Linked DNA regions of Anolis sagrei. The protein of the gene in region 1 purifies or fractionates together with the protein of each later gene. This does not show direct contact. Links are inferred from orthologs where the notes say so. Each region holds a gene or a part of one and is shown in the gene's direction. Other genes may lie near its edges.

Region 1 (7,289 bases):
GCTCTGCAATCAACATTGTGAGGTATGGTGATCACAACCATATCCAGCACTGGGATTTCACAAGAGAGGCAAAATAGTCTGGCCTTGTAGGAGGCAAATACTTATGTGCATTTTGCACATAAATAGCAGCAGCAACAACAACAACAACAACAATGAAGTGGGAAAAGCTGCCCATCACTATTGTGCTTAATTTAAAAAGAGGATGTTTCTCAGAAAGAGTGGGGTTTGGGCAAAAAAATGGTGGAAAAGTGAGTCAAATCTCTCCAAAATACCAAATGCAGAAAGATAATTCTTTATTTCAAGTGGTGAGGAAATGGAGCACAAACTTAGGCTGAAGAATTGTACATTTGACAGGCTAAGAAAACATTTTTTAACTGGAGTACAATGAAGTATAAGAGCAACATATCTCCCATAATGTAGATCTAATCCTGTCCTAATCAAGTCACACCCCAAACCAGGAGAGCAAAAGGCCAGATTTCCCTTGGGAGGTTCATCTCATGCTTAAGAAAACCAAGTTCATACACAATCAATAATGGATTCCTAGAGGAAGAGGTCTATCATAGTAAACCTGGTTGCTTCTAGACCTTGTGATCTGGTTGGTTTTGTGACATCCCATATGTACTTAAACCGGCATATCTATACTGTGGAATTATTGTAGCCTGACACCACTTTAACTGCCATGGCTCAAAGCTATGGGATCCTGGAAGTCGAACATTGGTGAGCAGACCTGTAGTCAAGGGGCGGGAGGGGTCCAACCTCCCCCCCTCCCCAAAAAACCTGGTTTGCTTATGAATTTTAACTGGTTAACCAAATCCCCATGCTAAGTTATGAGAAACAAAAATTAAACGAGACCCTCCAGAACTTCAAGCACTATCTCAAGCAATTTTTAACAATGTATTCACACTGTCATTACTTGCAGCAATAGCCGATATAGTGAAATTCAGGATATGTATTTCCTGAGTCTTAAAATGAAATGGTTCAGCAGATTTCCCTGGTTAGCCTACTCATTTAATGTACAAGATGCATGGTGGTGATGTGTGGTGATTGGAGAAGAAGTTGGGGAAAAGGTGGTCATCAGTAGCTTTGTGCTTTGGTTGCTAAACCATTTGTGGGATGGAAAGATGCAACAGAAGTTTTCAATGGACACCATCAGAACATCGGAACCAGGTTTACCTGGATTAAAGGAGCCCTGGTGGCACAGTGGGTTAACCCTTGTGCCGGCAGGACTGAAGACCAACAGGTTGCAGGTTCGAATCTGGGGAGAGTGCGGATGAGTTCCCTCTGTCAGCTCCAACTCCCCATGCGGGGACATGAGAGAAGCCTCCCACAAGGATCATAAAACATCAAAACATCCAGGCGTCCCCTGGGCAACGTCCTTGCAGATGGCCAATTCTCTCACACCAGAAGCGACTTGCAATTTCTCAAGTCGCTCCTGACACATACACACACCACACACACAAACACACAAAATCAGAACAACTTGTGCTCAGCTGAAAACTTCAGACTAATTCAAAGTGGAAAAAGTCCTGATGAGGTACCAGCCCTCATTGGCAGGGAAAGTTAAAGGTCTTATAAAACTACAGCTCCCAGGACTATTCCATACCCTTGAGTTCTGGTAGTTAAGGCAATGGCTACATTCCTCAGTGTAGCTCAAGGCAATGGCTACATTCCTCAGCAACACACAGTAATGACTATGTTTTTGCTTAACTCAATCTAAACAGCTGTCCTCCTACTTAACAGGTCAGTTGAGTAGAAATTACATTTTCCCACTGAACAGATTGCAGTTTGCTATTACTGGAGAAAGTCATATGACTTGCTTTGAATAGCGCTACGTTGTCCTGGAACCCTCCTGATTTCTATGCAATTAGAGCAACTAATTGTTAATAATAGTGATAGTAATAGTAATATTGGCACTCTATTGTAAAATATTCTGAAGATATGTTTTTTATCAAATCTAGAAAGCTTGCATTTGCCATTTGGCTACAATAATGGCAAATTAATGACAATTGCTGTTATTTTACTATATCTTCCAACCCCGTTTAGCTTGTGATTTTAACTAATTTGTTCTCCTCTAGTCATGTCCGACTCTGGGGGAGGAGGTGTTCAACTCAATTTCTAAGCCAAAGAGCCGGCGTTGTTTGTAGATGCATTCAAGGTCATGTGGCCGACATAATTGCATGGAGCACCATTACCTTCCCGTCAAAGCGGTACCTATTGATCTACTTGCATTTGCATGTTTTTGAACTGCTAGGTTGGCAGAAACTGGGGCTAACAGCAGGAGCTCACCGCTATCCCTGGATTTGAACTGCTGACCTTTCGGTCAGCAAGTTCAGCAGCTCAGTGGTTTTAAAAAGTGTATTTTTATTCTATTTTAATATGTACACATTGTAGGTTGTAAATTGCATTGTTTTTAAGATGGTAAGCTGCTTTGGGTCTTGATTAAGTGAGGACAGCTGGGCACAAATATCATCATCATCTATGGTTAAATGGTTGGATGCTTTATTGCTATATGCCTTATGAAGCCTTTGAGTTTAAAAAGTATAAACACTTTTAATACGCAAAACAAAAGAAAAGAAACTTGGAGCCTATACAGGATTTTATTGTGGGCCGATACGCCCTCTAATGTCTACTGTAATAATTTGCAATTGTAAGTTGAATTCAGAAGCATGTGTTGCCTCTAGCAAAGTGTCCATACAGTGTAATTAGTATAGCAGTTTGACAGCACTTTAACTTCCTGGCTCCCTGAAAGAGAATGCTGGAATTTGAAGTTTGGTGAGAATAGACTTCCACAGCACTCTCTTGAATATTGTTTATGATAGAGAAGCCTAAGGATGCATCTATACTGTAGGATTAATCCAATTTGACACCACAATTTTAACTGCCAATGTGCTTTATTGGCTCTCATGATGATTTATTTTATGACTGAATTTATACTGTTAATTTGCGTTGCTTATTGTTTATTACCATATTTCATGGTGTAAGTTGCCTGAGTCCTCATGGGGATTTATTTATCGTGTCAGAAGTGAATTGAGAATATTGTTATAATGTATTAAAAACCACAAACAAAGTTCAAAACTTGGCATATACTAAATGTCCTTTGACCAGAGGCTGGTAATGGCGCACCATGCAGTCATGCTGGCTACATGACCTTGAAGGTGTCTATGGCCTCTTTGGCTTAGAAATGGAGATGAGCACCAATCCCCAGAGTGGGACACGAATAATGTCAAGGGGAAATGTTTACCTTTATTTATACTTTTTGGCAGGGAAGGAGTAAGACCTTGTAAAACTACAGCTCAAACTGCATTCATCCTACGGTGTCAAACTGCATTCATCCTATGGTGTAGATGCAGGCTAAGCCACTTCTGCACCAAACTAGGAGTCTAGTGTCTAGATCCAGGGAAGTCATGCTACCCATGCTCTATTCTGCCTTGGTTAGGCCACACCTGGAATACTGTGTCTTGGGCACCACAGTTGAAGAGAAATTGACAAGCTGGAATGTGTCCAGAAGAGGGCGACTAAAATGATCAGGGGTCTGGAGAACAAGCCCTATGAGGAGCGGCTTAAAGAGCTGGGCATAGCCTGCAGAAGAGAAGGCTGAGAGGAGACATGATGAGGGCCATGTATAAATATGTTAGGGGAAGTCATAGGGAGGAAGCTTGTTTTCTGCTGCCCTGGAGACTAGGGTGAGGAACAACGGCTTCAAACTACAAGAAAGAAGATTCCACCTGAATATGAGAAGAACTTCCTGACTGTGGGATCCGTTCAGCAGTGGAACGCTCTGCCTCAGAGTGTGGTGGAAGCTCCTTCTTTGGAGGCTGGATGGCCATCTGTCGGGAGTGCTTTAAATATAATTTTCCTGCTTCCTGGCAGGGGATTGGACTGGATGGCCCACCAGGTCTCTTCCAACTCTATGATTCTATGATTCTACACATCCCAAGATTTCACAGGAAGCAACTATGACAGTTAGAGCAGTATCGAACCGCTATAAATGTGTTTCCAAACCGTGGTTGCGATTTCAAGGTAGGCTTTGAATTGATGCATTTTCATTCGAAACCTTCAACCGTAGTCCAACTCTACTCACTCTGTCTGGTGCTTCCTGGGGTCCTTCGACTCCTTTTTTGCGCATGCGCGCTGATACTCCTGGGATTTGTAGTCCGAAGAGGCGGCACTGCGGCGGGTCGCTCACGCCGCACGGACTTCCTTTCCCATGATGCTTTGCGGGCTGTTGCCAACGGAAGTCGGCCGAGTAACATGGCGGCGGTTTCGGAGACGCAGTGAGTCGTTGCCGACGTCGAGGAACGTTCCAGGTGAGGCGAATGGCGGCTCTTTTGGAGGAATAGCGGGCGACTGACGGCAAGTTTGCACGCTTGGCCTGGTTTGAAGGAGTGGGGGCCCCTTTGGGTTCTGCTGGTTTTCCTGGGGAAGACAGACTTTTGAGTTGCTGCCCTTAAGGAGCTACAGCTGCTGGGTTGTAGATTTTCCGGGCTATATGGCCATGTTCCCGAAGCATTCTCTCCTGACGTTTCGCCTCCACCTATGGCAGGCATCTTCAGAGGTTGTGGCCTCAGGCCCCTTCCTTTTCCCCCTCAGCCGCTTAAGCGGCTGAGGGGGAAAAGGAAAGGGCCTGAGGTCACAACCTCTGAGGGTGCCTGCCACAAATGCAGGCGAAACGTCAGGAGGTAATGCTTCTAGAACATGGCCATATAGCCCGAAAAACCTACAACAACCCAGTGATTCGGGCCATGAAAGCCTTCAACAAGACATAGCTACAGCTGCTTTTTCATTGTAGAATTAGTGCAGTTTGACAATGCTTTAATTGGCATGGCTCCATGCGGTGGAATCCCGAGATTTGTTGTTTTGCGAGACTTCAGCACTCTATTACAGAGACTGGGAAAAACTACAATCCCATAGCATTGACCCATGACAGGTAAAGTCCTGTCAAACCTCATTAATTCTACAATATAGATGTTACTTGGTGTTTTTCTCATATGCCCCTTAATCCTATGTCGAAGCCTGCTTTCCCCCCTCTATTTTAGGTTTGTTGTGTGTCAATGTTATATTTATATGCTGACTTTTTCTCCACAGAGTTCAAAGAAATGCCCTTTTGTCTGGAACCCCTGCTCCTTTTTTATCTTTAGGACCATGTTATGAGGAGCACATGATTGTGATATTGTACAGTATATTATATAATACTAATAGTAGAATGTACAGGTAGTGTATTATATATTGCAATATAATAATATAGTACAATGTAATATATAATAATATGATAATTTTATATTATACATCAAATATATTACTAGTAATATTGCAGTATAATGTTTGATGTAGATGTGGATTTGCTTTTGGAATTTTGGGGTGGGGTTGGTTATTTTTGTTTTTGTTCAGCTTCTCACGGCATTGCCAATATCTGTTGTTAACCGCCCTGAGTGCCCTTGGGGAGATAGGGTTGCATATAAATAAAGTTTTATTATTGTTCTTGTTGTTGTTGTTATTATTATTATATTGTGGTTTGGCTGGGAGAGAATCGGAGCCAAGTTAGGGTTTGAGCCCAGGCTCCCTGGTCCAGGTCTGACACCATAACTCCTGCAAACCAGCAAGATTAATGAAACCTACCTATAGATCATGCATATAGTGGTGTGGTGGCTTTAGCATTTGAGGAGGACTCTGCAGAATCCGCATTTAGCCATGGAAGCCTTCTGAGTTGAATTTTGCCTTGCCAAAAAGACCCCATTGATCAGGTCACCATAAATGGAAAATGATTGGAAAGACATACAGCAGCAATTACAATTAGTGTTGCATTTTGGATTCATTTCTTTCTAACATACTTATGCCAGAGCTTTCCAAACATTTCATGTTGGTTTTTTAGACATGCATCATCTTGCAACACAGTAATTCTGTTTTACTGGTAATATACAGGCATATACAAAAGCTATAATAACAAAATCTTAGAATCATTGAGTTGGAAGAGACCTCGTGGGCCATCCAGTCCAACCCCCTGCCAAGAAGCAAGAAAATCACATTCAAAGCACCCCTGATAGATGGCCATCCAGCCTCAGCTTAAAACCCTCCAGAGAAGCAGCCTCCACCACACTCCGGGGCAGAGAGTTCCACTGCTGAACAGCCCTTACAATTAGGAAGTTCTTCCTAATGTTCGGGTGGAATCTCCTTTCCTGTAGTGTGAAGCCATTGTTCCGCGTATAAGGACACAACATATGTCAAGAAAGCCTTTCTACAAATATATAACTGTTAAGATAATAACCTGTATTTCCAAGATTTTTGTCATTTCTTGTTACATTTTCACAATACATTACATACTGCAGCCAACACACTAATGTGTGCCAACACAGTTTGGAAAGCTCTGCTTATAGGCACAGAAACAGTAATTTACCTCACTTACATGTAACTTTTTTTCTTCCTATTGCAGTCAGCCCTCTATATCCATAATTCTGCATCCATGGATTCAAGTATACATAGCTTGAAATTTTCTTTTTCAAAATCCAAAAAGCAAACCTTAATTCTGCCATTTCAGATAAGGACAGAGGAAACAACCAGGCACATCTTAACACCTCTCAACAGAACATTTTCCCAGGCTCAGCCAAGCCTTCAAATGCTAATGAAGGTGGTCAGCTGAAACATTCACACCTAGCTTCAGCAGAGAGCTCTTTGCCCCACCCAGTCATTCCCCAGATATATAAACCCATTTTCCTATTTCCAACAGACCTCACTACTTCTGAGGATGCTTGCCATAGATGCAGGCGAAACGTCAGGAGAAATGCCTCTAGAACATGGCCCTATAACCCGAAAAAACCTACAAGAACCTAGGACAGCATTTTATTATGCCATTGTATATAATGGGACTTGAGCACCCACAACTTTTGGTACCCTCCTTGGGGACAGGGGGTCCTGAAATCAGACCCCAGCAAATACCAAGGACCCATTGTCAGGTGGGCAGAAGATGGCCTCCATGAATGTTTTTGTGGCACTCAATTGTACCACACTCCTTGGGCTGTCCTTTACCTTCCTCTTTTAGAACCTCCAAAAGTGTCAGCCTACCTTTTAAACAGATTGCATGCTGCCTCTGTACTGTGTGAAATTTTCAGGAAATTTGGTTTTTAAAACAGGTGGAAATTTGTCTGGTGTGGCATTTTGTGTGGATCCCAGATACCGAAAACTGGGTCTCAAGCCTTCTGCAGATGCCCAGATATGTATGGACTTCAAACTAGTATTCCTTTGCAGAGGCTAGTCAGGTTATATACTTGAAGTGCTTTTTAATATTGCGAATTTCT
Region 2 (7,426 bases), on another chromosome or scaffold:
GGTTATCTGAAGGCGGTTCTAGACAGGCCTTTTATTTTACTTTTCAAAGTGGTTTGGGGGCTTTGGGGGAGGGGGAAAGGTCCCCAGATGTTCTGCCAGGCTGTGCGCGCTTTCTGGGGTGGGTGTAGACAGGCACCCAGGAACATCCACAATTTTAAAACGTGGCTGGTTTGGGCAGAAATTATATCATTCATATATATGGGAAACAAGCTTGCTCCCTTTTCCCTATGACATCCCCTCACATATTTCTCAGCCTTCCCTTCTGCAGGCTAAACACGCCCAGCTCTTTAAGCCGCTCCTCATAGGGCTTGTTCTCCAGACCCTTGATCATTTTTAGTCACCCTCCTCTGGACACATTCCAGCTTGTCAACATCTCCCTTCAATTGTGGTGCCCAGAATTGGACACAGTATTCCAGATGTGGTCTAACTCCAAGTCTACAGTTTAGAGTTGCCCCTAGTTAGTAGATGGTAATCCACTAACAGTCTTGATCAGCTGTGATCCACATCAGCAGCAGTGTTTTCAAAAAATGAATGCCCAGACACATGAAATAGTAGAATAAGAACTGGACAAAACTTATAGTTCAAAGGGGGAAAAGACAAGCCCCTCCAGCCCTGTAGATGCTGTTCTTGAAACAGGAATATATCTGTGAAATTGCTCTCTCGCTTGACAATAGCATCAATTTTCATGGCACCAGAGCAAACCTGAGATATATAAATGGAGTTTGCTGTCAAATTAAACACTTTTTGCTCTAGCATTTAATAAAGAACAAGATTGGTTTATTGCTCTGCATATGCCTCCGCTATGGGCATTATTTCTTAAATAATCAAGGGTGTGCGGGACAGGACACACCATCCACAAAGATTAAATTTAACCATGCCTTAGGACTAAAATATGATATTGATTTTTTCCCCCCTGTTAAGAGAAGAGAAGCCAATGCACTTGCTGTACAAAGCTAGGCTACAATCGCTTGGTTGAAAAGCATATAGGATTTTGTTCAAGCTGTGAAGAATTTATGCCTTTGAGGGATGAATTAATTTTGGCCAGAGGTTGTTAAAAGAAGGAAAGGGAGTGGAAAAAGAAAGGAAAGAAATAGAAGATTAGTACGAAGCCTTCATAGCATTTGCTGAAACTTATATTAAAAGAAAATGAAAAAATTGGACCAACATATTTTGTGAGAATATACAAAAAGTAATCTGCAGATTTTTTGGAGGGGGTGCATTGCTTCATACATATTTATATCTGTGTGTGTGTTGCACACACAAACATACATACACAATATATATCAAACTTTCAGTTAATCGGAACTTAAGCAACTGCAACTCTCAAACAACCGGACAAAAAATGGAAGAAATACAGTAATACTGCTGTAAAGGCTTCCTCTTCGTTGTCTGATACTCTATTCAATCTAGTATGCTGCCACCATCTGTGAGGTGCTAGGTGATGCTGCCACCAATTAATAAGGGTTTCCTATTCAGTTTATTAATGGATTCCCCTATTTTCAAATAGATTCACTGCTACCACTCTGTAGTGTTTCTTTTGGTGTGTAGCGAGTTTTCCCCCCCTTGAAATAGTACACTGAGACTTGAGTTACTAAAACAAGAACAAGTTTTGTTCTGTCGCGCGCTGGGCCTGTAAAGAATTTCCTTTAAAATAGGATGTGCAACCTTTGCCCAGCGGGAAGCCAGGGGCCCCCAAAGAGAAGTTCTCGGGGATTTTCTAGAAGTGATGGTTTTTAAAGTCTTTGATAATGCAACAAAGTCTTTATTATGGAACATACAACAAATCTTCAATTGTTCAAACAACACTTCAAGGCTTTCCCAGTCTAGTCCTCAATGGACTGGCACCTGACTTTGATAAATTAAACTTTCTCTGTAGGAAAAAACCCTTTTTAACTTCTCCCAGGCTGACTGTAATCTAATCCTTATTGATGTGGGCTCCGCTACCAGGTCGATCTGCATCTCGAGCATTGAGTGGACCTACCAGTAAGGCTAGTAGATTCTCCACCTAGAATTTTGTGGTCTTCCAAACTGTTTGCCCTCCAAAATTCCTCAAGGCTTTAGAGCTGTTTCCCTGGAAATCTTCGGAGATCTTTGGATGCTCTTAAGACTGCAAAGTCTTATGGGTTGAAGCTTTTGTACAGGAGAAGCTTGTACACGTCCTCTACATTAGCTTTCCTTACTGAGACTAACTAAAAATGGCTCCCTTCCCTATTGCCCTGAGCAAGGGGCGGGACCAAAACTTAACGATGATGGGCAGGTGACTTGCCCTACAACTGCAACCAAAGGAAGCCACCTATCTGCAGAGTCCCTGAAACCTTGGACTGCAAGCAAACATTTAATACAAAGCAAATAAAGTTGGAGCTCCTGGTACAGCCGTACTAGCACAAGTTTATTTGGAGTAATAAATAGTTTCAGAGTTCTCTTCTCCTGAGGTATAAAGCTTCACGAGTTACAGTTTCAACAAATCTTAACGTAACTTTAGGACGTCTTTTACTTCACCAACTAGTTCTTTAGTTGTTATACTTCTAAATATGTTTCCTTATTTGACAGATTAACTAAGGTTACCTAATGCCCTTGTCTCCCTTCAGCTTCCTGCTGAAGTAAAGATTCCCAGTGGGATTTCTTCTATTAGCACACAGCTAAACCACAAACCTAAATAAGTCCCCTTGACTTGATTAAATCACTCAGGCTAAAAGCTTTCCCTTAGTTTGGTTCACCACACGTTTGAACCACCTTCCCTTTAGCTCGCTGACTAAAGGACTGAAGCCTCAAAATGTCTGCCTCTGGTAAGTGCAGTTGGCTTCACCCTTTTCTCCATGGCAACCTAACTCAGAGTGGCAGGGTTTATATATCTATGGAAAGACCAGGGTGGGACAAAGGACTCTTGTCTGCTGGAGCTAGGTGTGAATGTTTCAACTGACCACCTTGATTAGCATATAATTAGCATATAGCCAGGAACTGTCAGGCCATTTTATGCTAATCAAGGTGGTCAGTTGAAACATTCACACCTAGCTCCAGCAGACAAGAGTCCCTTGTCCCACCCTGGTCATTTCACAGATATTTAAACCCTTTTCCTATTTCCAACAGACCTCACTACCTCTGAGGATGCTTGCCATAGATGCAGGCAAAACGTCAGGAGAGAATGCTTCTAGACCATGGCCATATAGCCCGAAAAACCTTACAACAGCCCACTCATAGGGACTGTTGGAATCAAAAATGTAAAATGTAGGCACCAGATGGCGCTGTGAATGCTCACAATATGCTCAAACAGAGAGACATATTGTAACACTACCAATTTGGATAAAACTTCAGAATTATATATAAAACAACTGTACAGATTTGGTTCATTTAAACCATGTGGATATTCTGTGCGTATACCAGTACTCAATCTGGTGGAAACCAGAGCAGAGACTCCTAGAAATCCCAGATCTTTTGCTAAAGATTCCTCTGTATGTAGGGTTGAAGATATTCTTCATTTATTTCTATTCTTCAAAGCTGAGCTGGTGCAAAAGGCATTTTTAAATGTATAAACATAAATGAATTCCATGTTTAGACTCGGATTCCATTCCCATGATATTTTGTTATGTGTATGCAAGGATTCCAAAATCGGAACAAAACTCCAAATATGGCACATTCCATCTGAACATGAGGAAGAACTTCCTGAGAGCTGTTCAGAAGTGGAACTCTCTGCCCTGGAGTGTGGTGGAGGCTCCTTCTTTGGAAGCTTTTAAACAGAGGGTGGATGGCCATCTGTCAGGGGTGATTTGAATGCAATATTCCTGCTTCTTGGCAGGGGGTTGGACTGGATGGCCCATGAGGTCTCTTCCAACTCTTTGATTCTATGATTTCTGGACATGGGATGTTCAATGGTATCGTCATCACCATCATTTCTTACTTGCCTTTTCCAATGGATTGAGGTGGGCAACAATAACAGAATTAGGAAACCAAAGGACTAGGCCATTATTAGGCCTCTATACTTAGGTATGGGCCAACTTGGACCCTTCAGGTGTTTTGGACTCCAACTCCTACCATTCCTAATAGAATTGTGGGAGTTGGAGTCCAAAACACCTGAAGGGCCCAAGTTGGTCCATGCCTGGTCTAAATGCATGCCAAAAAGGAGAGAAAAAGTAGAATTGGGGAAAAACCCTGGTCCCAAATTGAGAAACTCCCAAACTCTGGATCTCCAAGTGTTTTCCTATTTTTGGACTTCATATCCCAGAATTCCTGGCCGTTGATCAACGCAGCTGAGGCTTCTGGGAAGTGAAGTCCATAATGGAATAGAGTCAAGACGGGCCTCTGTCTCCTCCAGACGCGCATGCGTAGTCGGTTTCCGTCCTTACTGCGCATGCGTGCCGCCTTCCTCCTCAGTCGTCGCCAAGATGGCCACCGCGGCTGCTTCTTCGTCGGCCTCTGGCGCCTCTTCCTCCTCCTCCTCCGGCCCGGGAGGCTCGAGCTCATCCGGGCCCGGGGGAAGCGGAGGGTCTGCATCCTCAGGCCTCACGGCCTCGCTGACAGGGACCATGAACAGGAAGAAGAAGCCTTTCCTGGGCATGCCTGCGCCGCTGGGCTACGTGCCGGGCCTAGGCCGCGGGTGAGCCGGGGGCTCGAGTTGGGAGTTGGGCGGCCAGCGAGGCCTCGGTTTCCCTTCCATTCTGTCTCTCTCTTTGGACTTGTATCTACACTGTGGAATGAATGCACTTTTGACACTACTTTGACTTGATTGCTAGGACTCATGTTGTTTCACAAGGCCTTTAGCCTTCTCTGCCAAAAAGTACCGAACTACAACTCCCAGGATTCTATAGCAGTTAACGTGGTGTCGAACTGCATTAATTCTACAGTGTAGTTGCAACCCAAGCAATTCCTGCTTCAGTAGAAAATTGCGCTTTTCTTTCCTTCTTCCTAAAATACTAATACTAATAAACTTTATTTATTGTTGTTGTTCATTCGTTCAGTCGTCTCCGACTCTTCGTGACCTCATGGACCAGCCCACGCCAGAGCTCCCTGTCGGCCGTCACCACCCCCAGCTCCTTCAAAGTCAGTCCAGTCACTTCAAGGATGCCATCCATCCATCTTGCCCTTGGTCGGCCCCTCTTCCTTTTTCCTTCCACTTTCCCCAGCATCATTCCCTTCTCCAGGCTTTGCTGTCTCCTCATGATGTGGCCAAAGTACTTCAGCTTTGTCTCTAGTATCCTTCCCTCCAGTGAGCAGTCGGGCTTTATTTTGGCCTTGCCCTGTGCAATTTCTGTGTTTACTGTCCGATTTTATACTGCTGTCTCGTTTATTATTTAGGTTTTGCATTTTATGTTTTTTTTAGTTCTGTTATGCCTTGTGTTATATTGGGTTATGCTTTTGTGTAATATTGTGTTTACTGTATTGATGGGTGTGGCCTCATGTAAGCTGCCCCGAGTCCCCCTGGGGGAGATGGAGCAGGGTATATTATTATTATTATTATTATTATTCCGGACCCAGCTTTCATACTATTACCGCCTTCTCTGTGGTTGCCTCCCGCCTCTGGAACTTCCTCCCTAAAAATATCAAAACAGCCCCCTACTTAAAATAATGTAAAAATACAGTAAATTAATAAATAGGAAAGGGTATAAATAATGTTTATTGTTATTAGTGGGATGGGCATACCAAGCCACCTTGTCTCTCTCCTGAGGAATTTGTACAAGGACCAAGTAGCAACAGTCAGAACTGACCACGGAACAACAGACTGGTTCAAGATTGGGAAAGGCGTACGGCAAGGCTGCATACTCTCACCCAACCTTTTAACTTGTATGCAGAACACATCATGTGAGGATGTGCAGGGCTTGATGAATGCAAGGCTGGGGTGAAAATTGCTGGAAGAAACATTAACAACCTCAGATATGCAGATGACACCACTCTGATGGCCGAAAGCGAGGAGGAGCTGAGGAGCCTTCTAATCAAGGTGAAAGAAGAAAGCGCAAAAGCTGGGTTGCAGCTAAACGTCAAAAAAACCAAGATCATGGCAACAAGAATGATTGACAACTGGAAAATAGAGGGAGAAAATGTGGAGGCCGTGACAGACTTTGTATTTCTAGGTGCAAAGATGACTGCAGATGCAGACTGTGGCCAGGAAATCAGAAGACGCTTCCTTCTTGGGAGGAGAGCAATGTCCAATCTCGATAAAATAGTAAAGAGTAGAGACATCACACTGGCAATAAAGATCCGCCTAGTCAAAGCCATGGTATTCCCTGTAGTCACCTATGAATGTGAGAGCTGGACCTTAGGGAAGGCTGAGTGAAGGAAGAGAGATGCTTTTGAGCTGTGGTGTTGGAGGAAAGTGCTGAGAGTGCCTTGGACTGCGAGAAGGATAAAAATTTTAAATTTTAAAACACTGGGAGATTGGGCAATGGAAATTGTTGGGGAGGGAGATCCAGATTGAGGAAGGAATTAATTGCACGAACCATAAAGTCCTTCTGAAGTCATTTGTACGAAATTTGGTCAGGGAGTATCTTACATTCAATCATTGAAGGCACGTTGGAATAACCAGGTTTTCAGATTCCTCCTGAAGATTGCCAGTGTGGGGGCTTGCCGAATGTCTCTGGGGAGTGAATTCCAGAGCCGGGGGGCTATCACAGAGAAGGCCCTTTCTCTCGTCTCCACAAGTCGCACTTGCGATGCAGGCGGGAGCGAGAGAAGAGCCTCTCTGGACGATCGAGCTTTACGCTCTTTCCACTTCGCTCCTTCAGGAGTGCTGTTTGCGCAACGCAGAACAGAACACAGATATTGTAGAAGGAATGTAACAATTCTTTAATGGCAAAACCTTAACCCAGAGGCTGGATAGTCATCTGTTAAGGGGTACTTTGTGCTTTTCCTGCATGGCAGGAAGTTGGACTTTATGCCCCATGTGATCTTGTGCAACTCTATGATTCTATCATTCTAGGTGTTTTGGACTTGAGTTTTTCTGTTGTGTGTTAATACAAGTTTTCCACCCCAAGATGGTGCTAGTAGAGCAGAAGACTTTTACTTTTGCCTTTGTGGTCTCTTCTGCTCCCACCCTGGGTCCAAACACTTTGATATGTATGAAACAGGGAGTCCTTTGGAATCTTCAAAACTAATAGATGAAATTCTGAGTAATACTACTTTAATGCAGGGGTCCTCACTTTTTAAGCCAAGGGCTGGTTTACAGTTGTTTTGGACTTAGGGCAACCCTAAGTCTAAAGTTGAGGAGGAGTGGGGAGAGACCTCACTTTAGCACTTCCACATCCTTTAAGTATAATCCATAATTTCTAGGAAAAGAATAAAAGTACATTACAAATGGATCGATTTGGTCGGAGATGCCAAGATCTGCAGTAGGCAAGCACCGAGCTGTTATTTCTAGGGTGCCATAGATTGAAGTCGACTTGATGACAAACGACAACAGTAAATGCAGTGTTCAAAGTGATAAATCTCACTATCTTGT

The links.
Region 2: the proteins of DDX23 (region 1) and PRPF6 purify together in Homo sapiens (affinity purification with mass spectrometry; 3 studies listed by BioGRID and IntAct, counting the BioPlex papers as one, with this or other methods). This does not show direct contact. The link is inferred for Anolis sagrei from reciprocal best matches to the Homo sapiens genes DDX23 and PRPF6.

The regions. Positions count from the first base shown.
Region 1 is NC_090022.1:137,777,879-137,785,167, reverse strand, and holds the start of DDX23 (probable ATP-dependent RNA helicase DDX23), read left to right. Parts: upstream 1-4,219; 5' UTR 4,220-4,357; intron 4,358-7,289. UniProt on the Homo sapiens protein: Involved in pre-mRNA splicing and its phosphorylated form (by SRPK2) is required for spliceosomal B complex formation.
Region 2 is NC_090024.1:237,895,222-237,902,647, reverse strand, and holds the start of PRPF6 (pre-mRNA-processing factor 6), read left to right. Parts: upstream 1-4,363; 5' UTR 4,364-4,379; coding exon 4,380-4,591; intron 4,592-7,426. UniProt on the Homo sapiens protein: Involved in pre-mRNA splicing as component of the U4/U6-U5 tri-snRNP complex, one of the building blocks of the spliceosome.